2 linked regions of the Ovis aries genome follow. The protein of the gene in region 2 interacts with the protein of the main gene of each other region in a pairwise test. Links are inferred from orthologs where the notes say so. Each region holds a gene or a part of one and is shown on either strand. Other genes may lie near its edges.

Region 1 (6,472 bases), on a different chromosome or scaffold from region 2:
ATGTACAACATACATTATGTGTCACCCTTTAGATAAGAAAGCACATTATGCCTTCTGTTCTACATGCTACTTTCTTCACTTAATATAGCCTCGTGATCTCTCCAATCAGTGTGTAGAGTCTCCCTCATTCCTTTTTACTGATGCTTAGTATCCTACTGTATAGATTTACCAGTTTATTCAACCAGTCCCCTACTGACTGATATGAGAGTTGTTTCCAATCTGTTATTGCAAATAGTGCTGCAATGAATAGCTTTGTGCATGTTACTTCCTATTTTTGCCATCTTATTTCTAGGAACTTTACTTCTATTCTAACTTAGTACTCACAACAACTATGCCGTAGATACTGGGTCTTCATCTTATGTATAACTTTGATGTAATGAATCAAGTGCTGCAGTACACAGCAGTCCAGCATTTGCAATAGCACATTATAGAGTAAGTCTTTAAAACTTGGAATAAACACCCTCACTCCTACCTTACCGTTCTTCTCCCAATATACGGACATCTCTTCTCAGAGAAAAAGAAGTTATTCTGTCAAGTTAAGCACCACAAACGATAAACAAGGAGTTTAGTTTAATTTTCTCTGGGTATTTGTAAAACACTTAGGGCCAACATAGGAAAAAATAAAATAAAATACAGCCTCCTGTGAAAAAATTACACTTACAAAAGAAAGGCCTGAGAGGGATTAGTGCCTTAGCCCCTCGGAGCTATAGCAACTCTGATTGGTCCAAGGAAGTGAATAGATATTGGGAGGCTACAACAGGAGGAAAAACAATGAGAAATCACTGAGGGAGAGGGCCTCGAAGTGGGCCTCGAGGGGGCACTGGAGGTCGGGGAGTAGGTCTGGGTGGAGGGAGGGGCCCCCGCTGGTAGCCGTAGGGTGGAGGTCGTGGAGGGCCAGTGTATCCATGAGGAGGCATCAGTGGAGGAGGTCCACGCATACCATGCGGAGGCATAGGACCTGGGTGACCTGCAGGTAAAAAAGGAAAACAAAGTAAAAACAAGGAATAGGAGACAGTTCATATTGGGACAATGTAAGGAGAGGATACACTGGGAGATAGTGAAAAGAAAGAGAAGAAAAGAAAGTGCAGGGGATAAGAGGTGTGACAAAACAAGCTGCAAGAACAATATGTGAGGATGAGGGAGGTGGCTAAAGACTACTCACCCATAGGAGAGCCAAACGGAGGCCCTCGGGGGGGCATGCCCATTGGAGGAGGTCCAGGATGAGGCATTCCAGGTGGTGGTCGGGGTGGTGGCTGCCCCCCAGAGCCAGGCGGCCCAGCGTGGGGGTGCCCTAAGCCATGAGGGCCATGGTGGGCCAGCTGCATCTGAGACATCCCTATGAGAACAAAACAAGACACAGTGAGAAATGAGACAAAAGGAAGTTAGAAGACAGGAGGGCAAAGAAGACAGAGAAGAAAATGAAGAAAGTGACATCAGATAGAATACAGAAATTAAAGCTGGTAAAAAGTGCCCTTATCTTTGACTCCATCCCAAGAGAATAAATCAACCAACTACCCTACAGCTCCCCAGTCCCTGAAGCCCATTTGCTCCTTCCATGATTTAGGCATTGTAACAGTGCTGCAGAATGGCGTGATTATTCTACTGAATAGAATCTGGGAAGATAACAGAGACACTGTCACAGCAAAGATCTAATTCTAAAGGATGAACAGGAATTTTTCAGGTGGACAACAGAGTGGGAAAAGAACATTCCAGGCAGAAAAAAATCAGCAGGTGCAAAGCATGGATGTGATCAACAGCACAGTATGTTAAAGGAAACCCAGTAGAACAGCTTGTAGTCATGGGAGTAACAGGCAGGAGCCAGATTATGCAAAGCCTAGAATGCTATGATAGCGAGTTTGGGTTTCACTCTGTAAGTAAAAAGGAACAACCAGAAGAATTTTGAGCAAAGGTGTGTGAATATCTGTATTTAAGAAAAATTACTCTGAGATAGTCAATCAAAGTAGAGATAATTAGAGTCAAAGTGTCAGTTAGGGTATTACTAAAATAAATTAGGTGTGAAATAATGAGGATAGGAGAGCCTGGGCTTCCCAGGTGGCGCTAGTGGTAAAGAACCAATGCAGAGAGCCTGTTGTTCTCTTTGGTAAAACTTAAACAAGAAATGAAGACAGCATGATGGTTGTTAAAATAAACGGTAAAGTATCTTGCATTTTTTTCCTAAAAGAATGTCTGAAAGAAAGGAGAGCTTGGGCACTATCTATTATTGTTAAAGGACAAAGAACAGCAGCATTAAGTGCTGACAGAGCTCCTCCATCAAGCTCATCCCTCTCCTTCCCAGCAAAGAACGCTCACCTGGATGGGGCATCCCACCAGGTGGGAATGGGTGAGGATGTGAGTGTCCGTGTCCAGGATGTCCAGCCCCTGGGGTTCCCGCTGATGGGGGACCATGTCCTCCAGCCCCAGGAGGCATAGGTGGTGGTGGCATGGCTGGGGGTATCCCAGGAGGAAGGGCTCCAGGAGGTGGTACTGGAGGTGGGAAGGAGCCAGGAGGAGGCATGCCTATAGAGAAAATGGAAAAACAGTTAATGATAGTGAGCAGAGAGTGCCTTTAGAGAGCCTGTTCCACCCTGGCCTCTCCAGGCCGAATGAGCTCTTTTCCCCTCCTCCCAGCTCTCTGAAGTCAGCGGCAACATTAAGTGACTTGAACAACAACCTTCTGGAGAAAACTCAACAACTTTCTTCCCACCACAATCATCATCCCTCAACCCCTTTCTCATCACCTAATGACTCAATGTCCTCTCCTTGCCAGGTTATTTTTCCTTCTTCCTGGCCCCACCCTTCCCAACCCAACACAAACATTTTTTATCAAAAGCTTTACCTGGTGGAGGAAGCCCAGATCCCAATGATGATACCACAGGATTGGGAGCAGATGGTGGAGGGGGTGCATCTGCAAATAGCTGATGAGGGCGGTCAGCCTGGGAGAGTGGGTTCTGTGCTGCCAGAAGTCTTTCAGCGGCTGAGCCATGGCGCTCACCCTTGGAGTCCTTCTTGAATGCGTAGGACACAGTGATTGGGCGGTTACAGAGGTACTGCCCATTCATGGCCTCAATCGCTGCATCCGAAGCATCAAATGAAGCAAAATTAATAAAGGCATAACCTTTGGAGTTGCCTGTGTCAGGGTCCCGCATAATCTTGGGGGTTTGTAAGATGACCCCAAAGGCGCTAAAAGTATCATAAAGCAACTTCTCATCAATCTCCGGGTCCAGGTTCCCAATAAAAATGTTGGCCCCCACATCCAGGTTTTTGTTGTGAGCTGATGCCTTGTTCACCCGTATTGGCTTCCCATAGAGTTTGATCATGTTCATGATCTTAATGGCATAGTCAGCATCTTCCTCACTCAAGAATTCCACAAAGCCATAGCCTGGGGAAGTGGAAAAGAAGAGGTTAGCAACTGAAGTGATTTAAAAACGAGTTTATAACTCATTTGTCTTCTAAAGCACAAAGGATAAGAAATAATAATCCCAACTTCAATTGAGAATGGTTCCAGAAACAAAATCTTTAGTTTGCTCACTCCAAAACTTAATATCACTGGAGACCTCCAGGAGCAGTCTGTCCCTTTCATAGATAACTGTACTTTTTGCCGTGTACTCACCTTGGTGCTGACCAGTGACTCTATCCTTTGGCATGTGCGTGTTCACTACTGGTCCTGCCTGGAGAAATAGTTCCCACAGCAGTGGTTCGCTAACCTTCTCATCGAGGCCCCCCACGTACACAGTGGCATCTGGAAGACAGGATTAAGAGGTAAGGACAGAGATGAGGGGAAATAGGGAGGTAACGGGAACATGAAGATGGAACCCAGGCGGAGGAAGTGGACGTGGAGATGGGGTAGAAAAGCGAAAAAACAAAAAGATGTTAGATTAAGCTTTTAGAAGCTCCTCCTTTCCAGAAAATAGACAATCTTATGTCTAATTTAGAGTGACGGTGCAAGTTCACTCTGTAACTTTTCTTTTTCTTTTTTTTTTTTTTGAGTGGGAAGGCAGCAGAGGACTGGACACAGCATCACAACTATAGGCCTCAAGTCTGTCCATCCCGTCCCCATAAGGCATCGGGACCAGTCTGGCGCCCTTCGGAAAGGCAAAATCTCCCGCCCCAGCGGAAACATTGCTGGGCCTAGTCGAGGTCCCTCAAACCCCCAGAGTCCATTCTGGGTCTGTCCCCTCCAGTCACCCTGGTTTCGCTCGGAGATCGGCCCGGCAGCCATGGCGAAAGCGCTCCCGCCGTCTCCAGGCAGCGATCCCGCCCCCTGACCTCAGTCACTACTTCCGCTTCCGAGGCGAAGGCTGACGTGAGGTGGTGGGCGGGGCCGCGGCAGGGGAGGAGCCGGAAGCGGCCTCGGCCATCTTAGGAGACGCTGAGACTGGAAGCGGCTGAAGTAGCGGTGCGCTTCGGTCCACGCTCCCGTGCAGAAGTGCTACTATGAGCGGACGCGGCGGGGAAAGTGAAAAGGAAACGTTCTGTCTCTTTTAAGGCAGTGCTAGAAGTTAAAGGGTCACACTGCTCCCGAAACTGTCACTTCAGAAGCTGGGAGAACAAAACTTTAGTTTTCATGTGTTTTGTAGCCTTTTTTTCCCCCTTAGAAGGGTGTACAGAGGAACCGCTCAACGCAAGGCGTGGGGAGAACCGTCCATCCCAACCCGCAGTCCTTGAACAGACGCGGCCTCACAGCCCAGGCCTGAGCTTGAGGTATTTCCTTTTTCCTCAGGGAAGGAATTGTGGAATGTCTGAGCTCGCCTAGTCACTGCATAGGAGGGGAACCTGAGGTTCGGAGGTGGGGTGGTACCGAAGTTTACGGGGGTTTGATACTGAAGCCCAGAGGCCGAGGCCGAGGCCGAGGCCGAGGCCTTCAGAGCACACCCTGAACTCCAGCAACCTCTGGGCGTGCCTTTGCCCTGTCTACACGGAAGAGAGGACCTTAAATTGTGAATCCTGCAGCGCCTCACGCAGCCCAGCCCCTTACTTCCTTAGCAGTAATATGGTCGGTACCGTCCCTTCGTGGGTCACATTCCTTTCCCTCCTCTCCCACCACTCCCTTACCTAAGGTTCCTTTAATCAGACACAAACAATGCCAGCGGCGTGTATAAATATTGTGCTTTAATGAACTCCTTAAATAGAAATGTCACAATGAAAATATATAATTGGAAGAGATAGGGTGTCCTGTGTATATTCCATACCCATAGAAAACTATAAGGGAAGAAATAGAAATTGGAATTAAGCAGCAAGAGGAGGTGAGAAGGAGGTCTGTAGGCCATCTTGTTGGCACTGATAAACAGTATATCTGATTATCACAATTTACCAGCGCAATATCCAAAATTTCCATCCCAAAGACATGGAATTGCCCTGAAAAAGAGAGGCAGTCTTCTGGATTGTTGTTGTTTCTTAATTCTTCAAATGATAAGAACTGTTTAAACCAAACAAGGCAGGATAAGAGTTGGATAAGGTTAGCACCACTCATCCTCAATAGAAACTCAGGTCAGTGATCTTGTTTATGAAAGCTGAGGCAGCAAGACCAGATAAGAAAAACCGAAGGATTAGACAAAACTCTCCCTCACCCCAGACCACCCTCTGCCCTGCCCATGAGAAAGCCAGCAATTTCAACGGGATTGGGAGAGAATGGTATTTGGGTTTCTTTTCTTGGAGTGATCCTCGGGAGATATTCGTGGTGTCCATTTCCTTAATAACTCTTGAAGATGGGATAGCTCCTCCTGGAGACCAGAGATTGTGGGAGCTGAGAGGCCCATCTGGGAAGAGGGTGAAGAGAGGCAGAGAGGATCCTTAATTCTCTTAGTTCCCTTTCCTCCTCCAGCTATCCCCTAGGTTCCACTTGATATAAGCCAGAAGCAGTTTTCCCACACTCCCAAATCTATCCGCTTTGATACCAATAGGAATGGTATCTAACTTCCCAGTCCCCCAAACCCTTGCCCTTCTGCTCCTGGAAACATCTGGTTTCTCCTAGAACATCTGGTTCAAAAGTCAGACCCCTTCTCCCACTCCCAATTTTTGCCTTCCCTTCTCACCTGGACCTCAGGCCTTCCCCTCAGGTAGCAGCGTCTCCAGAGCCTGATCTGGGGTCCCAGACATCCAGGCAGCAGCAGTCCCGGGGGTAAAGGGCAAGCTCCCCAGTGTGAGGGGAGCCCCCACTCCTGATCAGCCAGGCTTTCAGAAGAGATAGCAGGTCGAGGGAGCCAACGAGAGGAGACTGCCAGCAGGGAGGGACTGTCCCGCCAAGGACAGAGTTGATTCAGGGGTGTCAGGGCCCCTCTAGAGAAGAGCCACACGGAACTGGGGGGCCCAGGAACCATGAAGCTTGGCTAAGGAGGAACAGGAAATCAACTGGCAACTTAGAAACCTGATGACCCCCAGTTTCCCCAAACTGGGTCATGAAGGAATGTCCAGCTGTCACCCACTGCACACTGTACCAGTTATCAAACTACAAGCCTTCCCCTGAGAACACTTT
Region 2 (6,443 bases):
ATAGAGAAGATTTTTCAAAGGACAGATTTTAAGAAAAAAAGTGATGAGTTTTAGCACACCAAATGTAAGAACAGATATCCACCCTTGAGAGAATTATTAAATAAGAGGCAGCAGACACACCCCATGGTGTCCTTGGGACCAATTAGAAGCAAAGCACTGACATATAGGTAGCAATACAGACAGATCTTTAAAATGCAGTGCTGAATAATATAAAGCTCAGGAAACAGAATGAAAACTGTAACATTCTGCCATTTGTGTAAATTGAAAACACTCCAAACAAAACCACATATTTTAGAAGGATACATTTCAAAGACAACAGAGCAGCTGCCTACAGCTATGGGAATTGCAAATAAAACAGGAAAAAATAAATATGGCAAGAGGCGGTCTTGTACCAACCTGTGACAGAAACATACCTTGAACTGGAAAAGTATGATTAACTCAAACCCTTGCACTTGAGGTTCTTTAAAAGCCCAAAGAAAGCCAGTGGCTTTACCTTGTAGTGAAGTCTGAGGCAAGTAAGCTACCTACTCAAAGTTAGAAATTGCCACACAGCACTACTATTGAATACCATCCAAAATCGAATGCCTTTCACAAGACATTTTGAAAGGTCAAGGCTGAATAACACCTGATGATAACCACATCTCAAATTCGGGCTCATCACTTTTCAGAAACCAAAATGTTATAATTCTACATGTTTCAAAAGGGGGTGGTAACAGAAACACTTTGTAAGGCAATAAAAAAATTATTTCCTCCATGACTTTTTCATAAATCTACTGACTTTTGATAGAGGCTCTCTGGGACAGTTAGGTCTACTTTTCTATACAATCTTTAAATATCAGGAATGAATCATCTACATTAGAATCAAGTAAGGTGATCCACCAGTATGGTAAAGGTATGATCTAGGATCTCTGTATTTTACCAAGTGTCCCATCTGTTTCTGGTTAGTCCCAGAGTTTAAAAATAACTGGATGAGTGTCCACACCAACTTCACCCCATCCTGTCCCCGAATCCCAGATCTTAAAAAGACCGTGGCTGAGTAATACTATCTGACCTGGTTTGCCCCATACATTTTCTGAGCAAATTTCTGACTCTGAAGGCAACCCCTCCTCCATCCATCCCTCAAACCCAAAGCTATAGCCCACACCTCTCCCCTGAGAATCCACAGGCACTTACAACCCAACAACTGCCCACCTGTCACCCACCTCTGTCTGTCCTGTGGTGGCTGTCCATACCTTCCATACCTACCTGGGTCATCCATCCAAAGTGGAAACCTGGGCATCAGTCTCCATGCCTCCCTTTCTCTTGATCCCTTCCCACCCTTCAACTGCACGTGGTGCCTATCAACCAGAAACTGTGTGGCCTCCCTTGTGAGACCCTAAGTGAGGAGAAGGCTGCAATCTTATTTGTCTCGTTTATCAATGCACTCCCAGAGCCCAGTACATGTCCTGGCTCTTGAGTGCCAAGTACATGTTTGCTGAAAAGAAACCAATCATCTGCGGCACTGTTTGGTTTTTTCTTGCCCAGATGCCCCCTCCAAGCACTTTCCTGGATCGATTCTCACACAGGAACAAACCTAAGCTGCTTGGGAGAGGGTAGGGGTTAGAGGGGAACTCACCGTCTTTCATACTCCATGTCCTGACAGGGCCTGCGAGGGCTGCTGGGGCCCCTCCTCAGCCGCTGGCTCCGTTTCACTTCCCAGCCACCCCCAGTGCTGCCACCATGATCTGCCAGCCTGGGTGATGCCTCCTGCAGGGACTCTGGGAAGAGGAGAAGGAAGAAAGAGGTCAGGGCAGTTGTGACAGAGAGGGTCTCCTTGAGAAACGCTTGGTGCCGAAGCTCTCTGCTGTCCCCAAGCCCAGCAACGCTGTATCCCAACTCCTAGGGCTCCTGAGGATTGGAGCAGGAAGGCAGCCCTTATTTGGCCTGCTGCTTCCCTTCCCTACAAACGCAAGGCTAGAGCCGGCCACCCTGGAAATAGCACAGCCCTCGGCAGGCACGGAGCATCTTGCAGAGAGACCTGGTGGTGCCACCCATCCTGGGATCACGGCTTTGCCATCTGAGACTGGTAGACCAAGCCTGGAGCTACTTGCCCGGGGGTGGGGGTGGGCTCTCGGTGCTGGACGACTTGTCTGAGATTGGGCACACTAGGCATGGAGGCAAGTTTTCATGACAGGAGTCCCAGGCACCCACCAGGCTCCTTCCATGAGCTGCCAGGTGCCATTTCATCCTCCCAAGAAGATGCTGGCTGCCCACTATGAGACAGCAGGAGACCATGAAAGGTTCCGGGGGTAAAGGGGCGAACTTGGCAATGAGACAGCTGCCGCCTCCCTAGGCTCTGGGCCAACACAGTTTTGGCCCTCACTCGGCAACTGGCTCGGCCCTGAGCCTGTCTCTTATGCACAGCCAGGTTCCCCAAGACGGCTCCCTACCCAGGGCTCTGGGCCCAAGTATTTCAGAGGTTAAAAGCAGCCCTTTTGGAGCCTGTTTTGAAGCATTGTATTATTCTGCTGGAATGGGAGAGCAGTCACTTCATGGCAATCCTCAGTGCTGCGGTGAGAACCAAGGAGGGCCGAGAGCCATGTGACCGGGCCAGGGGTCACCACAAAGTATCCCTGAATCTTCAGGCCCCACCCTCTAAACAACAATCAAGCAAAAGCCAGGCGTTAACAGCACCTGCCCAACACTAGGTTGCCACCACACCTTTCCTTCATGTATACATTCCTGCCAATTTTCTCTTCCTCCTAAAGTCTCAGGGAATGAGAGTTACCTGCTCCCAGATGGGTAAGACTTAGAATCACAACCAGGGAACCCAGTGGATGAGAGCCAGAGACAAAACCCTCAGTATATCTGGCAAAGGCATCCATAACAGATAGGGACCCAAGTCACAGGCTAGAGCCCCGAAGAACTACAGGCCAAAACCACGGACAGGGACCCACAATAAATACGGGTCATAATCACACAGGCCCCCCCTTTCACAGAATAAGCATTAGAGTAACCAATACGAACCTCCCCTCCCCCCAAAAAAAGGAGCAGTCAAGTCTTACACACCTTCCTTGCACTTTCCTCCCCCACCCAGTAAGTGGATTATGGCCAGTCCTAATAAGACTTTCTATGGGTAAGGACCCCTTCCCCATGGATAACCAGAGTTACAGACAGAGGTTCCGAGGATAGAGACCCGAGTCAGATCGACGATCTCCCTTCTCCTCCACCCAAGAATAAGGACCAGAGCCACAGAACACTTCCCCATGGGTTGGTTAGTACCAAAGTCACACACGAAAGCAGAGAGCACACTTTTTCGGCTAAAAAGAAAAGTCGCAGACAGCGGCCTCCCACGGAAAAAGTTCGGCGTCGCAGACACAGTGAGCCATAGGAGCCCACTCCCATCCGTCCCTCCCTTCCCCCAAGCCGCGTGCACCCATCCAGTGCCCCAATCGCGCACGCGCCTCTGCTCTCAAAAGGAGAAAAACAAAAAACAATAAAAAAAAGACACCCTCTCCCAGGCTCACAATGTGCAAAGCATCGGTCGGTTCTGCGCGAAGCCCAGACCCATCGACCACAGTCCGCCCTCGTGGGTCCTCTATGCAACCCCCTCCACCCCCGGCCCCTTACCTCCACCCCCACGACCAGCGTCGACTCTCACCTTCTGCGCCCGGGCTGTCAAGGGAGGGCTCCCGGACATCACCTCGGCCCGCCGCCACCTCCTCCAACTCTTCCAGCTCTGCCCGAGCCGGTCCGCGCAACTAGCAAGTCCGAGGCTGGAGGCAAAAGGGCGGAGGAGGGGAGGGGAAAAGCGCCAGGAGCGCTGCCCTCCCCGGGAAACCCACTGTCGCCTACTCCCAGCCGGCCGCGATCACCAACACAAAATGGCGACGATGAGAAAGGAGCCGGCGCTTCGACCACCATCCACCTACTAAGGGAGCGCGCTCTGGCCAACCCCGTCTATTGGTCGCTGTCAGCCCTCGGTCATCCCTGGCCTATTCTGATTGGCAAGCATATTGCCACCCCTTGCGAACGCCCGCAAGTCGAGAAAAGCGGCAGCTATTGGCCAATCCGGCGAGGCTGGCGTTTTAGAAGCTTGGCTTCCTTCGAAGATGAAAGACCAACGGAAGCTCCGCCCCTTTCGCCGGAGGGCGAGGCAGCTCTCCGCGCGATTGGTTGGGAACATCCACGCATGTGTCATTGCTTTCTTTTCGTTAAGTAAATTCCAGAGCCTAGCGGTCAGAAGTTCCATAGTCTGACTGAGAGGATAAGAGGGTGGTTGATTCCCTGAAGTCATGACAGAGTGAGGCAAAAAGAACCTCTCACCCGTTCGAAAGCAAAGTCCTGATTCGGGACCTATTTCGTGCGGCGGGGGCGGAGCGACAACTCTCGCGCTTAGAACAACTGCAGCTGCGCGGAGTCACACTTCCGTCCCCGACCCCGAGAGCTTGCAGAACGATCTGTTATGGCGGCGGGGATGTTGGGTTTGTGCGGCCGCCGCCTTTTGGCAGTAGCGGCGACGCGAGGGCTCCCGGCTGCCAGTGTTCGCTGGGAATCTAGCTCCTCCAGGGCTGTGATCGCCCCGTCCACTCTGGCGGGAAAGCGGCCGTCAGAACCGACTTTACGCTGGCAGGAGGACCCAGAACCCGAGGACGAAAACCTCTATGAGAAGGTGAGAGGGAGGGGAAACGGGACGCCGGAAGGGTCAATCGGGGACCGGCGGATAGGGCGCCGTAGAGGACGGTCTTAGTCGGCTGGGAATTGCGCAGCTGGCGAAATCTTCGAAGATTTGGAAATTCTGCCTAGCTTGTTTCCTCCTTTGTACGGGTTCAGGGTCAGAGATTGGCCTTATTTTGCAGACAGACATCAAACCTGAAGTGGGCAATGTTCAAAGCACGTTTGAAGCAATATAGAATAACAATGTTACTAAACACTGGTGTGGTGCTTGCTCAGGTGTTTGAAGCACTTTACATACATTAACTCATTTAGTTCTCATAATAACCATATTTCGAGGTAGGTGGTTTTGGTGTACCCATTCTACAGATGAGGAAACTGAAGCATAAAGATGTTAAGTGACTTGCCTAAGCTCACATAACTGAATGTGTGGCAGAACTAGGTTTGCTGTGCTATCTGATAGTGGACTGAAATCAGAATGCCATAGTTGGAATACAGGCATTGACCTTGGGCAAGTAGCTTAAGCCCTTGATGCTTCAGTTTCTTTGTAAGATAGGGAAAGTATTAGGACATTTTCTAAAAGAATAAAATACTATATGTGCCTCCGGTATTTAAATGAGTCAAAATGCTCAAAACGGCAGCTGGCACTTAGTACAAATACTCACCATTAGAAGTTTGTTTGTTTGTTTGTTTTGCCACTTTCCACCTCAGTGGGTTATTGTGCAATTTGTGCTTGTGAAAAGGCCTGGCATATAATAGATGCTTCATCCATACTGACCCCTTGTTGAGGGGCTTGGATATATAGGATACTCATTCATGCATTCTGTAGCTATGCATTGAGGGCCTGCTGTATGCCAGGCTAAGTTCAATGTGCTATAAATTCAGCAATATAGAAATCAGATAAAGCCCTTGCTTTCATAGAGCTTATGTGGTACTGGAGAATATAGAAAATAAACATGTAAAATATTAGAAAACAGTAAGATAGGGTATGCAACCAATAATATAATGTGATCAGAGTATTTGAAGGATATGATACTTTGGTAAACAAATAAATGCTTGAAAGAAAGTTAAATAAGATAAGTGGATGGAGAGTTATAGGGATAGGAAGTTATGAGGTTGAAGAAATAGGAAATAGCCAATATCAATCATTTTTGACCTGTAAAAATGTCAATTTCCTATAGGTCAACTTAACAGATAAGGTGACTAGGGAGTGCCTCCTAAGGGGAATGAAGATGAAGCCGACAGCTTGAATAAGGAGACAGATCCAGCCCCGACTAAATCTGGGGGAAAGGCTTTCCAGACAGAAGGAACAGCAAGTGCAAAGGCTCTGTAGTGGCAAGGAGCTTGACAAGTCCTAAGAACAGACAGGAATTTAGGGAGGGAGGAGAGATTGGTTCAGGGTGAAGTTGGAGACCAAGTTATACAGGACCAGCATCAGGCTCTGTGGAGCAGCAGGAAGCCCTCGTTGACTTCTCTCTGCCATAGAACCCAGATTCCCACGGTTATGACAAGGACCCTGCTGTGGACGTCTGGAACATGCGAGTTGTCTTCTTCTTCGGATTCTCCATCGTCTTGGTCCTTGGCAGCACCTTTGTGGCTTATCTGCCTGACTACAGGTGTGTGGGGTGTCCAAGAGAGTGGGATGGGTGGGGACAGAGGCAGGGGTGGATACTGTAGGAGACTGCCAGGAGTCCATTCCCTGGGGAACTAAGATGGGGATTGATGTCCACTGAGGCTCCCTCACATCTTCCCTCATGCTGCTGCCTCCAGGATGCAGGAGTGGGCCCGCC

What was found.
Region 1: the proteins of RBM10 (region 2) and SF3B4 interact in binary tests that used the Homo sapiens proteins (3 or more experiments, as listed by UniProt). The link is inferred for Ovis aries from reciprocal best matches to the Homo sapiens genes RBM10 and SF3B4.

Annotation. Positions count from the first base shown.
Region 1 is NC_056054.1:100,031,833-100,038,304, forward strand, and holds SF3B4 (splicing factor 3B subunit 4), read right to left. Parts: upstream 4,257-6,472; 5' UTR 4,220-4,256; coding exon 4,186-4,219; intron 3,740-4,185; coding exon 3,611-3,739; intron 3,380-3,610; coding exon 2,837-3,379; intron 2,518-2,836; coding exon 2,311-2,517; intron 1,337-2,310; coding exon 1,163-1,336; intron 968-1,162; coding exon 780-967; 3' UTR 554-779; downstream 1-553. UniProt on the Homo sapiens protein: Component of the 17S U2 SnRNP complex of the spliceosome, a large ribonucleoprotein complex that removes introns from transcribed pre-mRNAs.
Region 2 is NC_056080.1:57,655,984-57,662,426, forward strand, and holds the start of RBM10 (RNA-binding protein 10), read right to left. Parts: upstream 3,913-6,443; 5' UTR 3,680-3,912; coding exon 3,610-3,679; intron 1,758-3,609; coding exon 1,616-1,757; intron 1-1,615. Other genes in the region: NDUFB11 (NADH dehydrogenase [ubiquinone] 1 beta subcomplex subunit 11, mitochondrial), read left to right, coding at 4,445-4,651, 6,139-6,269, 6,424-6,443. UniProt on the Homo sapiens protein: Binds to ssRNA containing the consensus sequence 5'-AGGUAA-3'. May be involved in post-transcriptional processing, most probably in mRNA splicing. Binds to RNA homopolymers, with a preference for poly(G) and poly(U) and little for poly(A).